Linked DNA regions of Canis lupus familiaris. The protein of the gene in region 3 interacts with the protein of the main gene of each other region in a pairwise test. Links are inferred from orthologs where the notes say so. Each region holds a gene or a part of one and is shown on either strand. Other genes may lie near its edges. The genes, in order: ERGIC3, STX16 and VAMP5.

Region 1 (5,339 bases), on a different chromosome or scaffold from region 3:
TCATGTGAGATGTGGGGCCCATGGGAGGGCTGAGAGTCGGGATGGTGTTAGGGGACCTGCAGAGCCAGTGTGACAGCAGTCTAGGGGTGAGAGATGAGCGGCAGTCCTGAGCTGCCCAGGGGCTGTAGTGAGCAGGAGTAATAGGAGAGCCCTGCTGGTGTGGAAGGCAGTGTGTGGGGTGAGGCAGAGTGTGGGTCAGGGATGGGAGGTGGGCCTGGAGGGGGTCGAGAAGGGTGGTCTCACAGGGACTGTGGGAAGATGGTCACTGTGGAGCTGTTGGCATGGGGCCTGGAGGCACTCGGGAGGAGGCAGTGGGCTGGCAGGCCCCAGCAGCCTCTCCGCTCCCCCACCTGGGCTGCTGACAGAGTCAGGGAGCCCAGGGCAAGGGGTGGTCTGTGTCCTGGGAGGATGTTTAAAAGACAAAGCTCTGATTGCCTGAGGCCAGATAATCTGGCTAGATTGAAGGTTTGGAAGCTAGATCCTGACATCCTTGTTGCTTGGAGGAGGAGGCAGGAATTATAAAGTTCACCAAGTACTTTTCCGTCTTAGATCCTACCTGGTCCTCAGGACAGCCCTTTGTAGAGATCGCTGAAGCCCAGAGAGGGCAAGTGGCTTGCCCAAGGTAACACAGCTAGGAAAGTGGCTTATTGGCTCTAAGTCTTTTATTCTTCTCAGGCCACCATACTTCTGCCCTCAAGAGCCCCTGCATTCACTGGCTAGGGAAGAGTTCTCCTGGGGATGGGACCAGGAGGAGGCTTGTTGGCTGGTTCCACACCCTGCTGCCGAGGCAGGAATACTCCAGGCTTCCTTTCTACCATGTCTCTTACTCCATAGTTCTCATTGTGAAGCTCTCAATCTTTTTTCTCTTCCTCCCCTCTCTCTCCTTCCCTACCTCATGCTGCAGTACATGCTGTGGAGAGTAAGTGGCCCTGCCCCGCCAGGGAGGCCAAGCCCCGGCTTCTGGGGCACCCTACCCTCCCAGGATGGGGGGAGGTTTGGACGGGCCTGGGATTGGGGTCTTACTTTTCAGGTAGGGTTCCTTGAAGCAGAAATGATCAGGACCAGAGGACAGGAAGCACTTGTTCTAGAATAGACGGTACAGGGTACCCATGGCATTTCCTTTGAGGGCTCTGAGGGTAGGGGCCAAGGGGCCAGGGAAAGTGCTTGGACAGCATTCTGAGGGCCCACTTCGCCTTGTCAGTGATTGGCCATCAGCTGTGTTTAGTGAGAGACCAGAGTCAGCAGGGTTTGGCTCCTGAGGTACAAGCAGGGACTGGGCGAGAGTGGAAACCTGGGAGATGCCCGTAGAGGGCTCCCTGTATATGTTGGGAAGGAAATGGGGTCTGTGTTCTTAAGGCCCGAGGAGGGCATGGACTCGCACACAGGCCCAAGACAGGCCTGACGGGCTGCCCTTCAGCAGGGCCAGGCTGGGGGGATGAAGGGCCGAAGAGGAGCTGGGCAGTCATACTCAGGGAGGGGTGAGGAGGCCCGAGCGAGGACACTGAGGGAGGCAGGAAGCCAGTCCTGCTCCACCCGGTGACACATTCTCCCTTCTCTCCTAGTCCATGATTTGCAGAGCTTCGGCCTCGACAACGTACGTACCAGCCAGAAGCCGTGCAGGCGGATGGGGTGGGAGTGGTTGCTGCTTCATGTGTCCACGGGGATGACTGGGGAAGGGGGCACAGATAAAAAGATCCCGTATTCTATAAGAGGATCGGTCTGAGGGTCAGGAACTGAGATCTGCACAGGCCAGAGGTGGGGGATGGGGGACAGGAGCGTCCTGGGCAGAGACCCCCTGGCAAAGTCAGGAGAGAGTGGAGCACCTCTCAGACCCCACCCAGGCTGGTGTGGGGGGTGAGGCTGGAGAGGTTGGCGGGGACTCTGGTCAAGCAGTAGTCGGTCTTCCTCCTGAGAGCGATGGAAGCTGTTGGCTTCCAGATGTTGGCCCTTTAACCAGGATCATGATATAATCAGATTTGCAGGTTTTTAAAGATCCCTCTAAGGACTGAGGTTGATAAAGTTTGGAGCAGGACAGGAGTCGGAGCTGGGAAATCTGGGGCGCTTCTAGGCGGGGCTTCCCTGGCCTGAGACTCCCAGGCAAAGTGGGCCCCTGCCATACGGAGTCCGTGCCCAGTCTTTATGTGCCTTGTGTTTGGATGCAGCCGGAGCCTCAAACTGTGGAGGCCCAGAGGCTGTGAACTCTGGGAGAAAGGAGTTCCCGGTGGGGCGTGGGGGTGCCTGTGTTGGTCACATCTCCCAGGCAGGACCTCTTCTTCCTTCCCCCATCTCCCCACACCCCCTCCCCAGAGCCAGGTACCCCTGTCTGGTGCTGCACTACAGAACTTCCGATGGGGTGAGGGCTGTTGGGGCCTTGAGCGCTTGAGGCTCACGTGTCGGTGTTGCTTGCAGATCAACATGACCCACTATATCCGGCACCTGTCATTTGGGGAGGACTACCCAGGCATTGTGAACCCCCTGGACCGTACCAACGTCACCGCACCCCAAGGTACCAGCCTGGAAGGTGGCCCCCAGCTGCCAAAGCCCTGTCCAGCACTCATGCCCAGTGCTCTCTTCTCCCTGCAGCCTCCATGATGTTCCAGTACTTTGTGAAGGTGGTGCCCACGGTGTACATGAAGGTAGATGGAGAGGTGAGTCTGCAGGAGCTTGGGTATCCAAATCCCTCCTGGTGCCAAACACTTGAGTCCTGTCAACCTGGGAAGTGGGGTGCTGCTCTTCTCCCCAGCTGATGGATGACAAGCTGACGTGCAGGGGCAGTAGGTGATGGGACCCCCACAGCCAGAGTGCAGGCCCCGGGAGGCTTGAGAGCACTTGTGCTTTCTACTTGCCCAGATTGCCTCCATCCATGCCTCTGGTGCTCACTGTCCACATGGTCTGCCTGGGCTGGGAGCTCACCCTTCCTGGGTCCCCTCCTTCCCTTTCTACTGTGGCCGGTGGAGCAGCATCTTGGCAGACGGGAAGTCAAGCCTGGCCTTGCCAGGAGTTCGTGGTGTGCGGTCTTGGAGAGTTGCTTCCCATCCCTGAACCCCTGCTGAGAGAACCCTCTGCATGTAGCTGGGATTGGTAAACTGTAAAGAGCTGGTGACCAAGGAGAAGCTGAGATGGTGAGGCTGGCTGAGAGAGTGTCTGGGGGGTCCCTAAGCCTTGAGGTGTTCACTAGCAACCGGGGCCTTGTTTTCCCTCCCACACAGTGCAGGCACCACACATGAGGGGCAGGAACAGGCATAGGGCTGGGGGACTTGGGAGCCAGGTCACAGACTCAGCCCTGGCCCTGACTCCCTTCCTGTCCCAGGTGCTGAGGACAAATCAGTTCTCTGTGACCAGACATGAGAAGGTCGCCAATGGGCTGATGGGTGACCAGGGGCTTCCTGGAGTCTTTGTGCTCTATGAGCTGTCACCCATGATGGTGAAGCTGACAGAGAAGCACAGGTGAGGGCAGGGGTGACGGAGAGGGGCCTGGGGCTTCAGGGAGGAGGGGTACCTGTTAACACCCGCCCCTGGCACCCACCCTGTCCCTCCACCAGGTCCTTCACACACTTCCTGACGGGCGTGTGCGCCATCGTCGGGGGCATGTTCACAGGTCAGAAGCTCTAGGCTGGCTGGGGCTGGGGCTGGGGTGTGGCAGAGAAGATAAAGCCTGGGCTTCCTGCTGGAGTTGTGGCAGAGGGGAAGGAGGGGCACCTCAGCAGCCAAGGGGAGATGCTGGCCTAGCTGGTTAGGTGAGGAGGCTCTGGGGTCCAGCCACGTGTTGGGTGAGTGCCAGCCTCTATCTCTCTCCCCAGTGGCTGGACTCATCGATTCGCTCATCTACCACTCAGCTCGAGCCATCCAGAAGAAAATTGATCTCGGGAAGACAACGTAGTTGTCTCCTTCCCCCTCTGTTGTTGCCTTCTCCTGTTTCTCTTTGGCCCTTTGGTCATTTCCCAGCCTCGTCCCCACGCACCCCCACTCCGTCGTTCTGAGCCCAGGTTGATAAATCTATTAATTGTGATAGTACTCACTGGTCTCCGTGTGCTTCTTGTATCTGACCAGAGCCTAGAAACAACCCCTCATTCAGCCACTTACTGAAAGCAGTCAGGACTGACAGATCAGGCCAGATGCTCTCTGGGAGCCCCACATAGACATCCCCTGGCTAATAGGGCTTTATTCAAACCTGACGGATGTCTACCCCACAGCCCTGTCCTCAGTCCCTCCTCTGCACTGGTCTTTGGGCCTTTTGGGTCCAGCTCCAGGGCTGAGATGGACCTTTCCCGTATGAGCTTCCTGGAGCCACTATGGCCCTCAGGATCATGAGTGGCTGACCCCAGTGGTACTAGGGCCCTGGGTGCAGGCTGGGGCTTGTCACCTCTTCAGTGAGGGCTAAAGCCGGGGCTTCTCCCTGCTACCCTGGGCTCAGTCTACTGAGAGGGGTCCAGCCAGGTTGGGTTGAGTCTCCTAGGTGGAGGCAGAACTAAAAACTTGGAGAGATGGGAGCAATGGCCACTGTGGAGCCGGGCTGGCATCAGACCCCCAGCTCTGGGTCTCCTCAGGGTTTCCCTTTACAGCCCCGAATACGTGTGCAGAACCAGGCCCAAGACCCCGACCATGCTGCAGCCCAGGGAAGCAAGGATGTTGCCAGCTGGTCAGTTCATTCAGTCCTTTCTCAGGGAGTGTCTGGGTAAGATACTGGAAGCAGGAATAGAAAAGACAGGAAGCAAAGTGGGATGATGAGAGCAACATCTCTAGAGGCAGACCGGCCTGAGATCCGGCTCTGATGTGATCACTCACGAGCTGTGTGGCCTTGGCCAGGTCTCATCTAGAAATTGCAAATCGTATTGCCGCTGTAGTGAGTCTTGTTTTTTTGGTCAGCTGGAAACCATTCCTACTTGTGAACAGTATCCCGAATTTCCCCTGGGCACCTCCCTATCTTCTCACCTTCTGTATTGGGAAGGAGGTTTGATTTCCCACCCTAAGCTCCAGGGAGGCCCCCAGTCAGCATAGCGCATCCCCCTGGCCACAGTGAGCCAGGGCACGCCAGACTGTGTCAGGACTGGGAAAGTTTGCTTCTGGATATGAATGTGGGAAGACATGAGGTTGGTGCCGCTATACTACAGTCCTGAGGGGGCGGATTGTCTACAAATGAGCTGGCCCCCAGAGGACAGCAGAGCTGAGCCCAGAGGCAGAGAACCAGTCCTAGGGACATTGCTTGAATCCCATGACAAGTCGCCAGTTAAACCCTGGGAATTGCAAGCCCCCCAAATCCCTTTCTGCTTAAGCCATTTTGGGTTGGGATTTCTATCACTTGCACCCAGAAGTGTGCTGACAGGGCTGCTGTCAGAGTT
Region 2 (4,716 bases), on a different chromosome or scaffold from region 3:
AAATGCTTAAAAAGCCCTCTGCCTACCAGAGGCAGGCCTTTTCTTTCCATCGTGCGTTAGAGTCTTATTCCCACCCTGCTGCGGCAGTGAGCACACGAAAGAGAAAGCGAAGGGTTTCTGGTCAGACCTCAGTAGGTCGGTCTCACTTTCTGTAAACCTGACACCATTCTCAGACGGGGCTGCCGGGGCTGCCGCTGCCTCAGAGGGCAACCAGCTTCAGAAAAGCGACAGAGCAGTACATTAGTGGACTGGAAAAATGCTCATTATATGGCTACAAATATCACAGGGTCTCAAAGATACAAGAAAATGGACAGAATTTATTTTACTTGTGAAGTATTAGCATTCCTTTTAAAGAAAACATGCACCCAATTATATACGAGATCCACTCAGCAGCATATGTATGTTTCTCATCACTGATGACAAGATTTCTAAGACGCTTCCCGTTTATTTTTAACAAATATCATGAAAGATATTCCGGAAATAGCTACCTTATTAGCAAAGAGTAAGAGAGCTACTCTCACTTCAACAAACTATTCTTTTCTCAAGGTAGCACACAGATATACTGCAGTAATTAAAAGGGAAAATGAGATTTTTATCTGCTCCAGAATGATCCTCTACCAGCAATTCATCAGAAAGGTGTCACAGCAAGAGACCTGAGTCAGCAGCAACAAGCACACAGAACGTTCAACACACACCTAGCAGGTGCCCATTCCCTTGATTCCCTAAAGCAAGATGATTCAAAGAATCAAAGACTTTCCAAAAGAAAGAAATGGCCAAATCTTTTATAATCTATCGTCACAGAAAGGAGTTCTTGACAACTTCAAATCGAAGTGCGAGGTGTACCTCGAACCACTCCCCACAGTACAATGGCCAACAACCCACGTGATCAGCTCTGACTAAAATGACCCCGGACACCTGGACACGTACGACATTACCTTGTGAAGCTGTTTCAAGCCATCTTCAGTTTTGATACAGGACTGCTCAACATTATAGTCAATTCTATCAAGGACTGTACCCTGGGTGATAAATGACAGTTACAGACGATCAACAACTGCAACTGGAAACGTGGAATTTCAAAACTGAGATATGCAAATTGCAGACATCATTATCCACAGGATTATCTGTTTTACTTAACTGCTGCTGTAAAGGTACACACGGAAAGCTCTGGAATCCATCATCAAGCAATATTAGGCACTCAATGGCAGAGCGCTGTGTTAGTCACAATAAAGTATAACTCATGAGAAAGAAATACTGACAAATTGAGGTTTCTTTTTTGGATTTAGCCACTCTAAGATATGCCACATTCAGACTTACTGGGGCTTTAAAAAAATATACGGTTCAGTGGAAAGAGGCTCTGAGAGGCGAAAGGCTGGCTTCTGTGCCCATTTGCCGCTTAAATACTTGGATTCAAGTAAGCAGAGAGAGCTGGTTAAGCTAGACCCGGTTATGATTAGGCCTGGAAATAGACTGTCCTGTCTATAAACGTCAACACAGGTTTCCATGGGTCAGAGCAAAGACGGTGAGCTCCAATCCACCATGTAAAATTACACGTTTGCCTCAAGGAGAATTTTGTTTTTAATTGTTTAATCTGTCGGTTCAAACAGAGAGAAGGGAACACCAGGCTATGTGGAAGAACAGGGCTCTTAATGGAACACACTGTATCAGAAGAGATAGCAAGAGCAGTTCCTTGGGAACCGTGGGAGTAATTACTGTAACTAGATCTTCCATGGCCTCAACACTCCATTGTGCAGCTGGTTGCAGGGGGATCAGGACCCAAATCCCTGCTGGCAAGATAATAAAATACCCTAATCAGATTGTAACAGTGAACAAACAATTTAATTCTACTTGAAAGCTAGTGGTTCCAGTTGCCCTTACACAATAACCTGCCAAAATTAGCAGGGAAACCTTATCTATTGCCAGAATCATTGCTGAGTGGGGGCAGAACCCACCAGACCCCCGAAGTAGGGTGGTCCCATGAGCATCCTTGGTGTATGGGCAAAGAATCTGAGATCTTCTACTGATACCTATTTTTTACTTAAAAAATAAAAGGTTATCAATAGTTTTATAGGGAATGACATTAGTATATGCATATAATTTGCATATACAGATCTCTGTGCGGAGAAAATATACACATATTTGTGTGTGCATGTACACACAAAAGTGTGAGCACACACAACATACATACATACATACGTGGAAGGGCAGGAGGGTCAAATTTTGTTTCCTGACAGGAATACGGAATCAAAAGTCTCAAGAAGGACCAGATGTCATGGCAGGAAAACTCAACGATGAGGAAGGTAAACCACGTACCTGCTCCACAATCATTGCTCCTAAGTCCCTAAATATTTCATTCAGGTCAGAAATGGACTGCACGATCTGGCGAATTTCCCGCTCCCTCTCCTCCACCATCAGAGTGTTCTGCTCCACCAGCACTAACTGGTCATCTGTAAAACCCTAGCAAAACAAAAAGTACAGGATTTGTGTGTCAGATTCTCTTCTCCCACCTCCAGAAAGGTATGGTGTACCGCTGTAGGTATCATTTAAAGAATGAATTCTGAAAATACTTCTATAAAGCACATAAACACAACACATAAGCACTTATTTTTCCCTAACGGGAAAGATCCAAATTCCTAAAACAAGCAGGACCTAAAGCACTAGTGGCCAAAGCAGGGGACACGAAGAGAACCCATGTCTGCAGCTACACAAGGGCTGAGTAGCAAAATCACCAGGGATAGCCTTGCACTTCTCTGGGTTCTTCCCAATGAGGGGTGTGCAGACTGCTTTCCCGAAGGTTCTGAAAGGCAGATTACAAGGCCTCCTTGTAGCCTATAGAAAGGAAGAAACAGTATGGCCCCCATGACTGTTCTTCCACTTGCTGCAAAAACTACTTGATGGATGTACAAGTCAAGCAGTGCTGACCCATTTGCATTGCACAGAAGTTACAGGTCTATGAAGAGAAGGAACAGAACTGAGCGCAAATGTACAGCAGTCAACCTTGCAGCCCCTTCACGTACCCGATCATAAAGAGTATTATCGTCTCCATCATCCATTAGTGGTACTGATGTATCAAAAAAATGCTGGGATCTTTCCTCTCGATTCTTCATGCCTATCATAGATAGGAATTCACTTTACTCGAATATGTAAACCATCCTGGTTACTGTTCCACCATTAAAAAGGGGAAATCTAGAGTAAAACTCAACAGTCAAAATGGAGATACTCTTAGCTTTACAGGAAGCCTATCTCCAACAGAGGTGGGGGGAAGAGTAAAGGATTATAAACATATAACAATATGCAAGCATTGGGGGTTATTCCAGACAAAATCACATTATAAATGTGTACTATTCACTTGATGCCAAGTGAGTGACAAAATGACACTTAAAACAATCTGAGAATCCCTAAGAGAGGCAGAAATATTTAATCTAACTGCTGCTACAAAACATTTTTTTAAATCAATATTTCTTTCCAGAAGCATCTCTAGTAACAATTCCAAATGACCCTAATCGAATTTTAGAAGTAATAAAATTAAAATACAAATATGCCAGTTGTCAGAGGGAGGGGCAATTATTATTAAATTTTTTGGAGTGTGTGGGGATATTATTGATTACAATGGCAATATAGGAAAACCCAATTTATGAGGTAATTTGAACACAGATGTGGCCAGAACCGGACTTTTCACGGCCTCCGAAGAAAAGGTAGGCTGAAATCACTTGTGCCAAAGCAGCAAGTGGCTCAACTACTCCCAAAAAAGTTTTCAGGCATTCAAATACTTCAGTTGTTATGCAAATATAAAGCTTTCATGTGATTACAACTTATTTTACTTATTTGTTAGTAGCTTCCCCCAACCCAACATCTGGAAAGCTCCATGTTTTATAAATGTGCTAGAATGATTTTCAAATTTTTGAAGCTCGACACAGAGTACGTTGTGTTTTGTTGTGTGTGAACTATTGCAACCCCGGTCCCCAGCCTCCGTCCATGGGGGCGGGGCGGGGCCAGCTGCCAGTTGCCATGGAAGGTGTGAATGTGCTCAAGGGGTTAAGGACGAGGGTACAGGAAGAAACGGAGAACTAGCAGCAAAAAGGAAGGATGAAAACAGAAAGTGGCCCATAATCCTAGTGCTGAAACTTTCATGACTCAAAATCCCTGAAATCAGCCTGGTGACACTCACGTTTGAGGTAGCCCGACTGTGCACGCCGGAAGCTGGTGGACAGCTCCTGCAGAGCCTGCGCCAGGGAGGCCACCACGTTGCGAAGGAGCCGCTCCTCCTGCTCAGAGCAGGCCCTGCGGGCCCGGCTGGGCAGAGCCTGCACCGCACGCTGGCACCTGTGAAAGAGCTGGGAGAGGAAGCACACGGCTCCCAGTGAGCCGTGAAGGGAGACCCTGAGTGCTAGTGTGTCTGCACTCACGAGTCTGAGAGACATCAAATGCTCTGTTCATCTGTTCACACGGATGAGCCTCGAGAAAGGTGACCAGATCAAAGTGATCTGAGGCCTCACTTATATGCACAGAAAGACTGATCGGGATGTGAACAAACGCTGTGTGCTTGTGCGCTGTGTGTTGGGGCACTGTGCACACATTCTCAGGCTCCATCACCACGTGTTGCTCTATTATTGCAACCTTCTCATTTAATCCCTATCACTACCCTGGGGCAGGTATTAATATTATTGTTCCCATTTTATAGACAAGAACACCAGAGTCAGAGGGCTTAAATGAGAACCA
Region 3 (5,262 bases):
AGGGTTTCCACATATGGAAAATTCAAAACCATTTTAGGGTGGTACACAAGACTCCTAAGGGCTTGAGCCTTGCCATGTGCCTTTATTACTTTTCTACTAGAAGTGTTAGCCAAGACAGGCTGAGGACCTCCTTTCATCTCTTTTCTATGGCCCTGGTGCAGTCTAGAGCAAGGTGCTAGAGGAACTGGGCCACTTTTCCTTCTTTTTGGTTCTGCAAAGTTCTTTTGTTTATTTTTTTAATTTAAGTAATCTCTCTACCCAATATGGGGCTCGAACTCATGACCCTGAATTCAAGAGTCACATGCTCTTCTGACTGAGCCAGCCAGGCACCCCTGGTTCTCAAAGTTCTATTTGTCTTTTGTCTGCCCTTTTGGGACTTAGCAGGGCCTCCGGGTCTCAGCTGAGAGGGTGAGCATCTCTCACCATATCTTGTGGCTGGGCTCAGTCAGTGTCACAGGACAGGGCCTATGGCCCTCCTTCCCCTCCATGTACAATGGGCTTCTTTGTCTTCGGTCTTCCCTTCTCCCTGCCAGGTTCCACCTCATTGTCACTCTTTCCTGTCTTGGTTTGGGGAAAGGGTTCTTGCCATCTCTGTCCCTGTTTCTCCCATGGGCTTTCCGGTATTGAAAACAATCTGTTTTGGGGGTGGGGGGGAGTGTGGAAGGGACAGGGTTGGAAGACAGGATTTGGGACTCCTCCTGGCAAGTCAGGTTCTGGAATCATATTCAGAGAACCAGGGAGGGAAAAAAAAAAAAAAAGCATAGAAAAGCCCTCAGGCCAATCTTTGTCCTCCTGTGTCCTCCTATCTCAGACCATGGTCATCCTCTCTCCTCACGTCTGTCATTCCTGGACTCAAAGTCCACAGAACTGGGGTGAAACCACTTCCTTGGGACCCAGACTGCCCAGGGTAGGAATGTGGGCCGTGCTCAGGCAGGGTCAATGCTAGGACGGAAGCCCTCAACCCCCTTCCCCAAGAGGAGCCACAGTTGAGGTGGTGGGGGAGGCAGGGGGTGGGGGTGGCCACAGCCACGAGGGGAGATGGGCATGGAGGCAGGCTCTGGAGGAGCAGGGTTATATGAGGGCAGGGCTGCAGCTGCCCTTGTGGTGAAGAGGGAAATACCGAAAAGCTAGAACTAGTAACTTCTCCCCGGGGGGTCTGTTTTCTTTATTGAGGTGAAATTCACGCAACCTACATTGTGGACACACAATCGTACCACTCAGTGGTACCATTCTGAAATTCACAATTCAGCGGCAGGTGGTGCATTCACAATGCTGATGGTGAATAAAGTTTCTTTCGTTTTGAAACTTTTCGCGGAGTCTGGTTACCAGCGACTGCACTTCACACGCGCTAGCTGTTCCAGGCGTCGCTAGCCCAGGGCCGGACGGTGGCGGTGGCAGACCTCGGCCCCAGGGCCCGCTCCACGCTGCCCGCTTCAGAGACTGGGTCGCCGACGGGCCCCGACGTGTGGCCGCGGGCCGAGCGAGCCCGGGGCTGCCCAGGCGGGAGGGCCCGGCCCCGGAGGCTGGGGCACCGTGCGAAGCCGGGCGGGAGCCGGCAGCTTTCGCTTTGCCTCGCTAGGTCCGGGCTCCCGGGCAGGCGCCCCCCCGCCCCCGCCCCCGCCCCCGCGGGCCCCGCCCCTCCGCTTCCTCCCGGGGATCTGGCACCGCGGCCGCGCGGCGACACAGGAGCCCCGGCTGGCTGGCGAGGCGGCGGCTGCAGCTATGGTGAGGGCCGGGCGGGGCGGAGTGGAGCGGGGCCGGCGGGCCGGGGGCGGAGGGCGCCGGACGGGTGCGAGGCCGGAGTCTGAAGCCCGAGGTGGGGGCCTTCTCCGGGCCCCCCGAGAGTGGCGGCCGCCCGGAGCCGGCTGGGCCAGAGCCTCCTCCAGCGGGGGCGCGCAGGCCGGCGAGGGACAGTTCGGCCGCCCGTGCGCAGGGAGCAAGGCTCTGGCTTCCCCCTTCCCCGAGCCAAGGGGTTACACGCAGTGGCTTCGGGTTTCGGGGCTTCGGAGTCAGGCTTCCAGTCGGACTCCGGGCTGAGATCCTGGTGGTGGCCACTTACCGGCGCTGTGACCCGGAGCAAGTCACTTAACCTTCTTGAACTTTCTTTCCGCATCTATGAAGTGGGGTCAGCATTACCTGCCTTACTGGGTACTTGGGAGGTTAAGGGAGATACAGTTGGCAGAGCCCCGCCTGGAGCTCCTGAGCAGTGTAGGTAGTGTGGTGACCTCTTCGGCCCTTCCTGGAGCTGTGAGAAGACAGAGCAGTGTGGCCCGGAGTTGGAAACCCGAGCAGATGGGGTGGTAGCCAGCCATGGCGGGGTGTTGGAGGGCATTCTTCTGACCCTAGGTAAAGATAAAGGTACATGTTAACTATACAAGTTCCATTGAAGTTATCAGACTATGGCACAGGCCTGTCTCCTAACCTCTACCCAGGGACACATTCTTGAGGTGAGTCATCCCTTACTCCTGCTGCAAACTCTGGCCTGTGTCCCCACTTGCCATCTCTAAGACAAAGGTGTCAGCCGCAAACAGGTGGTGGCAGTAGCTTTCCTCCATCCTCCGGACTCCTGGGAAGATGGGCTGGGCAGGAAGCAGGCTTGGTACGTTAAGCTTCTGCCCTGGAGGAGCTGACAGAGGTGTGATAGATGTGGCCTGGCTGGGGGTCGGGATGCCTGGATGGCCTCATCTCTAGGGAACCAGAGGCAGGAAGAGGAAGCGGGACAGGAAGGTTGTACTGAGCTCTAAGGCCACGCCAGGAAACCAAGGGAGGCTCCAAGAATGGGACAAAGCTCTGAGCCCACTTCCCAGCATACAGGGCAAGGGATCTGGCAGGGCTAGGGGTGGGCTTCCAGTTGGCCTTGAGCACGTGGGGGAGAAGAGGAAACTCCTAAGTGAAGGCTGAGGCCAGGATAATTTATTGGTGGATACTGGAAAACTCTGACACTCTCACAGGTTCATCTGAGGCCAGCAGTGGATCAGAGCCTGGGGAGGGTACACTGATCTTTCTCCCTTCCCATCTCCTAGTCCCATCTCTCTGTTTCACACCTGCCCCTGTCCCTGGCCCCAACTCTTTCCCTTCCTTCTCCCCACTCCCTTCCCTACCTGGTCTTTCTTCCTTGTCCTCTCCTCTGATTCATTCAATCAACAAACATTTCTTGGGCATTTCCTCCGTGCCGGATGTGGTGACAGGTATGGGGATAGAACAGGAACAAATAGTGATGGGTAAGGGCTTGAATTCATTCATCCTATAGGTGGTCTTCTCTCGTGCAGTGTCCAGTGAATGTGAGTTTTGAGCTACAGGCTTCCCTCATATGCACAAGGGTTGGCTTGGCAGCATTAAAAGGTCTGGGGAGTCTTTAGCAGCCAGCTAAAGTATTTGCCCCCCCCCCCCCCCCCCGCACCTGCATTCATTTTAGCACCGTGGTGAAGAATGTGATTCTTGGAGTCTATTGGTTCCACTCCTGGATCGCCTGCTTACTGACTGTACAACCTTGATGATTTAACCCCTCTGAGTCTCAGTTTCTTATAAAATTGGGATGATAACATGCCTTCAATGGATTGTTGTGAGGATTAAATCAGATCAGGTGAACAAACAGCCGGCAGCATGGTGCTTAGCTCAGAGTACGTGCCCATTGAATGGTGGCTGTTATCACCTTCAAGACTTAAAACCTTCTCAACAGCCTGCAGTGCTTGATGGAAATAAACTCTATGCCAGTTATCAAAGGCCCAGGTGACGTTCTGTGTTTAGGTTAGAGACAATTAAGTGCACGAGTTTGCAATAAGGAGAGCTTGCTTGGCTGTGTGTTTTGTAAAATTATCTAAGAGGTTTTATTGACCATTTGTATGGTATAATTCTTGAGATCTGACTGCTTAAAAAGTAATCAGCCAGGGAGCTTGGGCTCTGTCTATAATAATAGCTCTTACTCATTGAGCATTCAGTATTGTCAGGTATTGTGATAAGCACTTTGTTCGTGACAGTCATATGCCTTAGTTAACATCATGTAGGTATCATTCTTGTCACCACTTTACAGATGAGGAAGTGGAGGGTCAGAAAGTTTGCATAGTGGGTAAGTGGCAGAGGCAAGATTTGAGGGAACCCGGGGCTGCAGTGCAGAGCCCCGGCCCTTGGCTCTGAGCTCAGGTGAATGCTGACCTAGCAAGGAACTGATACACCCCTTCACTGCCTGCCCGCTGCACACACAGCAACCCCCCCCCCCCGCCCCATCCCCAGTTCTTTGACTAGGACAGTGGTGACAGCTGGAATAGGGTTTGTCTCCCAGAGAGAAGGGAGACAGGAGAGTTAGGGCAGAGAGGTTTGGAGAGCTTTGTTTTCAGAAGAACCAAGGGTGGGGTGCCTGGGTGGCTCAGTGGATGAGCATCTGCCTTTGGCTCATGTTGTTGTGACCCCGGGGTCCTGGAATTGAGTCTAGCATCAGGCTCCCTGTGAGGAGCCAGCTTCTCCCTCTGCCTATGTCTCTGCCTCTCTCTCTCTCTGTCTCTCATGAATAAATAAATAAAATCTTTAAAAAAAAAAAAAAAGGAATGAAGAACCAAGGCTATTTGGCTTGGAAAAACCTGAGATATTTGAGGGTTGAAAGCAGATATTCTGTACAGAGGGTAACGGTCTGTTGAGAACATTTCCTGTGTAACTGCCACCCCCTGTCTGCCATCCGTGCTGCTGCTCCCCACTCCACGGCCCACCCTTGGCCCTGCAGACATCGGGCAGGGCTGGGAAATGACCCAGTCACCCACACTTTCCCTCTACACTCTCTGCTCCCCATGAACTTGGCAACTCCTCACAGCCTTGCTGGGGGCACTTTTCCACTCCTTCTGGATGGCTTCCCTGCCCAAAATTTTGTCACTGCCATCTAGGCCAGTCTACCACGAATAGAGAAATTATTCTGAAGCCTCTCTCCAGTGTCCTCCTTGGCTCACAAGACCACACTAGGTCTTGCTCAGCCCTCTCTGCAAGTGAATGTCCTCTATTTGGACTTTTACTCTGCATTCGTGCGCTCCACCCTGCCCCTCCGCCCTTGCCCTCTGCCTGGTCTGCCTCACTGGAACCCCAGCTCCACCCCATCCTGCAAGGGCTCATCCACCCGGGGCTGTCTCTGTTCACAGGAATCCACTCTCTGAGGGTGGCTCCAGCACTTAGTGTTTGTCCTTCACAGCGCAACCCTTCACTCTTCTCTACTTGTGCCATGCATGTCTCTTTCTCCCAGCCTATAGTGAGCGTCTTACAAATAGGCATTCAGAGATGTTT

What was found.
Region 1: the proteins of VAMP5 (region 3) and ERGIC3 interact in binary tests that used the Homo sapiens proteins (3 or more experiments, as listed by UniProt). The link is inferred for Canis lupus familiaris from reciprocal best matches to the Homo sapiens genes VAMP5 and ERGIC3.
Region 2: the proteins of VAMP5 (region 3) and STX16 interact in binary tests that used the Homo sapiens proteins (3 or more experiments, as listed by UniProt). The two-hybrid records come from large-scale screens. The link is inferred for Canis lupus familiaris from reciprocal best matches to the Homo sapiens genes VAMP5 and STX16.

The regions. Positions count from the first base shown.
Region 1 is NC_049245.1:25,017,451-25,022,789, forward strand, and holds the end of ERGIC3 (endoplasmic reticulum-Golgi intermediate compartment protein 3), read left to right. Parts: intron 1-904; coding exon 905-919; intron 920-1,562; coding exon 1,563-1,594; intron 1,595-2,409; coding exon 2,410-2,506; intron 2,507-2,583; coding exon 2,584-2,648; intron 2,649-3,310; coding exon 3,311-3,447; intron 3,448-3,542; coding exon 3,543-3,598; intron 3,599-3,800; coding exon 3,801-3,880; 3' UTR 3,881-4,014; downstream 4,015-5,339. UniProt on the Homo sapiens protein: Possible role in transport between endoplasmic reticulum and Golgi. Positively regulates trafficking of the secretory proteins SERPINA1/alpha1-antitrypsin and HP/haptoglobin.
Region 2 is NC_049245.1:44,191,353-44,196,068, reverse strand, and holds part of STX16 (syntaxin-16), read right to left. Parts: intron 4,332-4,716; coding exon 4,166-4,331; intron 3,107-4,165; coding exon 3,015-3,106; intron 2,455-3,014; coding exon 2,311-2,454; intron 1,785-2,310; coding exon of another isoform or gene 1,767-1,784; exon of another isoform or gene 1,024-1,766; intron 1,017-1,023; coding exon 936-1,016; intron 1-935. UniProt on the Homo sapiens protein: SNARE involved in vesicular transport from the late endosomes to the trans-Golgi network.
Region 3 is NC_049238.1:39,839,973-39,845,234, reverse strand, and holds the start of VAMP5 (vesicle-associated membrane protein 5), read left to right. Parts: upstream 1-1,623; 5' UTR 1,624-1,722; coding exon 1,723-1,725; intron 1,726-5,262. UniProt on the Homo sapiens protein: May participate in trafficking events that are associated with myogenesis, such as myoblast fusion and/or GLUT4 trafficking.